Rattus norvegicus: one gene and its partner. The protein of the gene in region 2 purifies or fractionates together with the protein of the main gene of each other region. This does not show direct contact. Links are inferred from orthologs where the notes say so. Each region holds a gene or a part of one and is shown on either strand. Other genes may lie near its edges.

Region 1 (2,909 bases), on a different chromosome or scaffold from region 2:
GTGAAGGTGTGGTTAATGTCTCAGCAAAATGTCCTGATCTCGGGAGTTGGGGATTTAGCTCAGTGGTAGAGCGCTTGCCTAGGAAGCGCAAGGCCCTGGGTTCGGTCCCCAGCTCCGAAAAAAAAGAACCAAAAAAAAAAAAAAAAAAAAAAAAAGTCCTGATCTTCAGGACAGCCTGAAGGTTGTGGATAAGGACTCTAAATACATGGTTCAAATACATGTTAATTTAAGGCTGGAGAGATGGCTCAGCTGTTAAGAGCATTGACTGCTCTTCTAGAGGTCCTGAGTTCAATCCTCAGCAACCACACGGTGGCTCACAACCATCTGTAATGAGATCTGGTGCCCTCTTCTGGTGTGTCTAAGGATGGATATAGTATACTCTTTCTTTTTGTCTGAAGGGGACTGGCAGAATTACTATATGCAGTTACTCTGCTAATGAACCTTCAACTATTAGTATAGCACATAAGAATTAACACTGCTCCCACAGTCAAAGGAAAGCAGGTCAATGAATGTGCAGTAGTATACCCATAAAATAACAAATCTTTAAAAAAAACATAATTTCTCAAGAAGTAAAGATGCAGTATGAATTACAGGAGGGGCCTATCAAACCTAAGGGTACAAAAGCAGCTCTACTGTAAGCCAACTTGTGAGAAAGACAGTAAAGAAGGGGACAAATGTAGGGAGTGATGGTCACAGACCCCACCCAGCTAAGGTTTTGTTGTTGCCACTGTTTACGATGACAAAAGCTGACAGGTTCCTAAGTCCAGGGTCAGCTGGAGACAGAGCAAGGTTGGGCCCAGCAGTGGTTGAGATGGTGATGGGATCCCACCAGCTGGCTTATTGTATGTGCTTAACAGAGGTGGGCAGACCTCTGAACTCTTTTGCAAAGTAAAAAAAAAAAGCCATTTGCTGTCTCCTGAAAATTAAGGAGCTGGGGTTATGGGTGCTGACTCTGGAAACCTGGAGTCAACATCTGGACTGATATGTAAAATAGAGTTGTCCTTATCATCTGCAAGAGATGAGCTATCCAGTCAGTCTCAAGCAGAGAACAGAGCCACCTGGGGATCTTAGGAGAAGACGGAACAAAGAAAAAGGTGTCTAGAGTAGAGCAAGGCCACAGCTCCGACCCAGCACTGACTGTGAGCAGTCTGTTCCTCCGCTCCCACACACCCCGTCCGTAGCCCCTCTCAAAGTCTTTGGCAACAGGAGCACTGGCTGTACTGTGGCACACGCCGGTCTCACCTGCTCCTGCTCTAGTTGAGCTGCCGGATGAGCTGGTTGATGCGGTCACCCCGGTAGCCAGGCGAGCCCATCTCCTTGAGGAAGCCCACTCTATTCTTGGTAGCATGACGGGCCACAGAGAGGTGGAAAGGGCACAAGAATGAAGAGATCTGCTGGAAATGCTTCCCAGGGAAGGCAATTTCATGGATGAGGTCTTCCAGGCAAATGACACCAAACTGCCCTGAAAAACAAGAGGGTATCGATCCCCTTGTTCACTACTAGCCGGTACACAGGAAAAAAGCTGGGCCTGTAATGTGAGGAACAGACCCTGGGTCCAAATCCCAGCAGCCACCAAACCCCCATGCTGCAGCACTCACCCAAGTGCTCCTCAATCACTGTGTTGTCGGTCAGAGGGACAGTCTTATTGTTAATCTTTGCTTGTCCACGCTTCAAGATGAGTTCTCGGACAGACTTCAGATTTGGAAATCTACACAAGGCACAACAGAGACACTGGCCATTAAGAACAAGCTGAGAAGAGGTGTCAGCCTCTCGACCCGGACCTCCCACAGGCAGGGCGTGGACTACTGAGTGACAACTGAGAGGAAGAATGAAAAGCACAGTGGCTCAAGCCTGCAATTCCAGCACCTGAGACAGAGGCCGGAGGGTCGTGAGCTATCTATACAGGAGTCTGAAGTGAGCCAACTGAAAAGCCCAGCACAGGCTTAAGAATATAATTAGAGGGGTTGGGGATTTAGCTCAGTGGTAGAGCGCTTGCCTAGGAAGCGCAAGGCCCTGGGTTCGGTCCCCAGCTTCAAAAAAAAAAAAAAAAAAAAAAAAAAAAAAGAATATAATTAGAAACTTAGGCATTTTTTGAGATCAGGTCTTATGCTGGCCTCAAACTTGCAGCAATCCTCCTGCCTCAGAGGTTTTACACCAAGAGGTACACAGCTGTATTTGAGTGAGGACAGCTATGAAGCCTGCTAAGTGTGGACACGGCTTCCCAGCACCATACCTTGTACCTTCACAGGACATATGTCCATGAGCGATACTAAACTTCTTCATGTCTGTCCTTTGGTGTACAGGGATGGGAGGCCCAAGACACCATGCTCAGTTCTAAAATGTGTTTTTCTTTCTTTGAGAACATCTTGCAGCAGAATGGCTCAGGCTGGCCTGGGATCCACAGCAACCTCCCTGCCACAGACTCCAAGTGCTGGGATGTAGGTGTGAGCCACCACACTTGGCGACGATCACTATCACGGTGGCTTCAAGCACTAATCTCTGTGTCATTCATTTTACCTTCTCTCTCTCTCTCTCTCTTTTTTTTTGGTTCTTTTTTTCAGAGCTGGGGACCGAACCCAGGGCCTTGCGCTTCCTAGGTAAGCGCTCTACCACTGAGCTAAATCCCCAGCCCCCATTTTACCTTCTCTTAACCGACAGCCGAGTAAGTCCCAAACACTTGGGGCATTATCAGCATCACTGACCTTCCCAGGTTCTAAGGCTCTTTATTTCTGGTGACTGGCCACAGCAAAATGGCCAACACACAGCATGAACCTTGGAAGACAATACCCTGTGTGTCTTACACACTCAAAGAACGAGGTGATTCACGTGGGAAAACGGTACTTACCCCCAGGTCACATAAGGCTCCACTGTGCGCAGCATTCTCATACTCTGAGGGGTGACCTTGACAA
Region 2 (4,136 bases):
GAATATGGTATTGGGGCAGGTGGGTGGGGCAGCCCTGCTACTCATTTTGAACACTGAAGATCAGGTCATTCCATGGTTATCACTTTAATAATGTAAAACTCAAGCAGGTGATGAGCTCTCACTCAGCTGTCTAAATGCACCCTCTACCTACAGGAGCAGTGACTAAGGACCCTTTGGTCCCCACATCCCTGGTCGGCGGTGGAGGAAGGGCAGGCCAGGCAGGCATGAGGCACAAACAGTCTTTATTGGGTTCACACCAAGAGTCCATTGGTCTTGAGGACCTCTGTGAACTTGCAGATTTTCTTCTCCACATTCTTTTCTGCCTGTTTCCTTAGCCTCTGTGGTTTGAAAAGACAAGTGTCAGAGATTTGTTGCTTTTGTCCCAGGGCCACCCTAACCCTGGAGTGCAGGTTCTATCCTCACCAAGAGCTGCTTCTTCTTCCGGTAATGGATCTTTGCCTTTTCCTTCCGTTTCTCCTCCAGAGTAGCTGTCACTGCCTGGTACTTCCACCCGACCTCATGAGCCAGACGCCCCAGGTAAGCAAACTGCAGGGGCACAAGGCTGTAAGGACATGGAATGTGCCCCAGCAGCAGAGTGAGCTGGAGGGCCTAAGGACCCTACTTCAAGGACTCATCCCAACATGGACGCTCTCCTGGCATCAGCTCAGCCTTTGGCATTATCGGCACTGTGGCATCCGAAGACCATCGTGAGAATATACCATCATCTGCCAGTCTTGAGGTCCCACAAGTTTATTCTGTAGCCTAGAGCTTACCTTTCTGGTAGGCTTCAGCCGCACAACCTTGAGGGCAGCAGGGACCACCATCCGCTTTTTCTGTTAGAAAAAAATAAGGGCTCAGAGACGTGTTGGGTGCACTTGGTAAGAAGGCTGATGGGTCAGGCGTCTCAGCCAGTGCAGTTTTCATGAGGCTCAAACAATGTAGGTAACAGAACATCACAGACGCTAGATGCAGAGAGGCTGTGAGGCTAGGCCTGCAAGGCTCACCTTGTCATAGGGTGGAGGGATCCCATCCAACACCTTGAGGCGTTCCAGGGCAGCCTGGCCTCTTTTGGTCTTGTGCGGCAGCATGCCTGTGGGTGTAACAGCAGCAGGCCTCATCAGAGGTGCTGAGAAACCCACCTGACCTCAGGAGCAGGGCATTAGGCCAGCCTCAGATGGTAGTGCATGTAGAGTCGTCTCATAGTCAGGCAACTCGAACATGAGTGGGAGACATCCTCATCACAAGCTGCCAGATGCTCCCCTGCTCTCCATGTCACCCATGGGACCAGCTTACCTCGCACAGTGCGCCAAAAAATGCGGCTTGGGGCTCGGAAGTGGTAGGGGCCTCGAGACGGGTTGGTGTTCATCCGCTTTCGGAGAAAGGCCAGATACTTTACTGTCAGAAGGAAAAGTATATGAGGCCTTTTGGGTCCAAAAAGCAACTAAGGACCTGCTTAGCCCCACCCAAGCCCACCACCCCAGCCCTAACTCACACTTGTTTCTGTAGAAATTTCCAGAAATGTTGATGCCCTCACAGCGTACAACCACCACCTTTCGGCCTAGAAAGCATGGGGTTGGAGACAGTCAGGAAAGTCACTGAACACCCAACAAAGCCACAGAGCACTCGTGGAATGCAGATCTGTTCCAAAATCATTTCTAAGCCATGAACCCCAAGTAAGCAGGGGCAGTAAGTCTCAGAGCGGTGCATGGGTTGATCTCACAGTCGTGAGACTCAAACGAAAGATGGTGATTATTGCTCATCACAGACTCTCAGGCAAATGTGGATGTTGAATGAAACTTACCCAGCAGTACCTGCTTGGCCACAATGGCCGCCAGGCGGCCCAGAAGATGGCCCCGGCCATCCAATACTAGAACCTGTGGAAAGAGGAAGGCTTAGTAGGCTTTCCCTACTCCAAGTTACCAACCCCTTCACAGTGCCTCTCCCCACAAGGATGCCTATAACCCAGATGAACCACGTGTCCCAAAGGTACATTATTATGTGCACACAACATGACTTTTTAAAATGGAACTTCATGTTACCCTACCAGGCCTCAAATTTCAGGATAGCTGGGATCCATGGGCACACTATGACCTACAAAGGGTCTAGACTTGGTTTCAGACTTTAGCCCATTGTTTAGTCCCACCAAATCCCCAGCTTTCTCACTAAGAGCAGACCTGTTGCTCTAAGCAGCACAAAACGAACCTGTAGTTAGCTAGACTACAATGGCTGTCCTGTCTGCAATTCTGAGCAGTGCAGAACAGTACAACCCAAACTACAAGAGAAAACCATTGCACACTACCGTTTACATTTTTAAAGTGAAAAACTGTCCCAAACAGCGTCATCTACTTCCTTAGCAACAACGTACCCTCAAGACATCTAAAAACAGCAGGAAAGGTGCAGTTCAACTCCTGTCAACCCTCAAAGTCATGAGGTTTCTCCCTCAGTCTGTTTTACAAGTCTGCTTCATCATTTCACCCCTTAATTCTGAACATTTAACACCCTCAAAAGGGCTACAAGCCCAAATATTAGATGTTACAAAAACCCTAAGTCATGCAAAACAGGAGCCTCCCACTAACAAAAGTACAATACCAGGCATGAGCAATTCCAAGGTCCCCACACCCCAATGCCGGAGATGAAACCTATAAAAGTTCTTTCCGGTGTTGGGAACCCGAGTCCCACTCCCGTCTTCCCCAGGAAAAACGCTAGGCTTTCATCGTCCCATACCTAAAGACTGCCGCGGCTGGTTATGCCCACGTTACACAACCCCCTCGCGTCAAAACGTTTGCTTAAGTCCCATCGCACAAGCAGAGTGGAGCAGTGGGCTCCCATTCGGCTCCCTCCTGGAACCCACCCCAACCCCACACCGCCCGGCGCGCAGAGTCCGAACCTGCCCCTCCGCCATCTTCGGCAGCCGCCTAGGAAAGGAAGAGGTCTTGGCGCAGGGTTTCTTATCCCTTGCTGCAGGGGCGGAGGAAGTGACGCAGATGGCTCGAACTGAAGGGTTTCTGTTTTCTCATTGATCGAAGCGGTGAGTGCGCGCACACCGGAGGCGGGCCACTTTCATATTGTCCAATCAGACTATCGCATGAGTTGGATCTTGGCGGCCATGACTGTGCGGGGCGAGAGGTCACGTGGTTCTCGAGGCGTCTTTAGCCGTACAAGGCCATCCAGCCGCTGCCGCCATATTTTGGAGGGATTGCACGTCTCGGTTCAGGTGTCCGTGATGTGGAGCGCCATTACTCCCATCAACGAATGACGGTTGCAGAACATGTGGTGGCCATAAGGGGGCGAGAATATGTCTTGGCCCGCCCTTCAGAGCTGCGTGTGTAACGGTCCCTCCCCTCAACCTCTTGGTGTGCTGAAAATTGCTGGCCTTTCCTGAGCCTAGGAGTTTCCTTCTGTCAGACAAGTCGGGGTAGTCTTCCTAGATGGAAGAGTATGAAGGAGAGAAGGCCTTTCAGGTTCCTGAGACGCAGATGCACTCACTTGCTGCTGTACCCAGCTGTGAATGTTGTCTGAGCTGCCCTCCCTGCTGTGCACCTATAACCGCCCACCACCAAAGGAAACAACAAAAAGGCAGTAGATTGTTCAGTATGAAAGACTCATTTTGTCCTGAAAAATCTCCCTAAACATCCCAGCCTGAGTCGGTTCCTCCAGGAGGTTCCAACACTGTTTTGCTTACTTGTTACACTTTGGTGCCATGATTTTGGGGAATTGGACTGCTTCTGCTTCACATCATAGTCCTATGGAGCATTCCCCCGTGCTGACCCTGGGCTGCTGAAGGCCTCAGAAAACAAATAGAACCTTTTGTTGTCCGTTCGGGTTTTTGATACAAGATTTCTGCAATCCAGGCTGACCTTAAACTTAAGATCCTGCCTTAACTTCTGGAGAGCCCGTATTGCATCACCAAGCACCAAAAAACCAAGATTCTGAAACCTAAAAGGTCCACCCATTCCCTGTCCCATCCACAGATAGGCCTGGAAGAGCTGGTACAAAAAAAAAAATTTTATATACAAGTTCATGGGGGCAAGGGCTTTGTACAGAATGGGGCGAGTGGGACTTTTGTTGAGTTCTGATGTTGTCTCCATCCTGGGGAGAGCTGGCTGAGGCAGGTCCAAGAGGAGGCCAGCCTCCAC

What was found.
Region 1: the proteins of Rpl13a (region 2) and Rpl7l1 purify together in Homo sapiens (affinity purification with mass spectrometry; 3 studies listed by BioGRID and IntAct, with this or other methods). This does not show direct contact. The link is inferred for Rattus norvegicus from reciprocal best matches to the Homo sapiens genes RPL13A and RPL7L1.

Annotation. Positions count from the first base shown.
Region 1 is NC_086027.1:21,698,699-21,701,607, reverse strand, and holds part of Rpl7l1 (60S ribosomal protein L7-like 1), read right to left. Parts: coding exon 2,846-2,909; intron 1,709-2,845; coding exon 1,599-1,708; intron 1,463-1,598; coding exon 1,254-1,462; 3' UTR 1,243-1,253; intron 518-1,242; exon of another isoform or gene 387-517; intron 1-386.
Region 2 is NC_086019.1:104,745,998-104,750,133, forward strand, and holds Rpl13a (large ribosomal subunit protein uL13), read right to left. Parts: upstream 2,917-4,136; 5' UTR 2,903-2,916; coding exon 2,888-2,902; intron 1,875-2,887; coding exon 1,802-1,874; intron 1,771-1,801; exon of another isoform or gene 1,688-1,770; intron 1,559-1,687; coding exon 1,493-1,558; intron 1,396-1,492; coding exon 1,294-1,395; intron 1,250-1,293; exon of another isoform or gene 1,165-1,249; intron 1,091-1,164; coding exon 1,005-1,090; intron 965-1,004; exon of another isoform or gene 898-964; intron 834-897; coding exon 774-833; intron 731-773; exon of another isoform or gene 651-730; intron 563-650; exon of another isoform or gene 547-562; coding exon 424-546; intron 339-423; coding exon 252-338; 3' UTR 226-251; downstream 1-225. UniProt on the Homo sapiens protein: Associated with ribosomes but is not required for canonical ribosome function and has extra-ribosomal functions.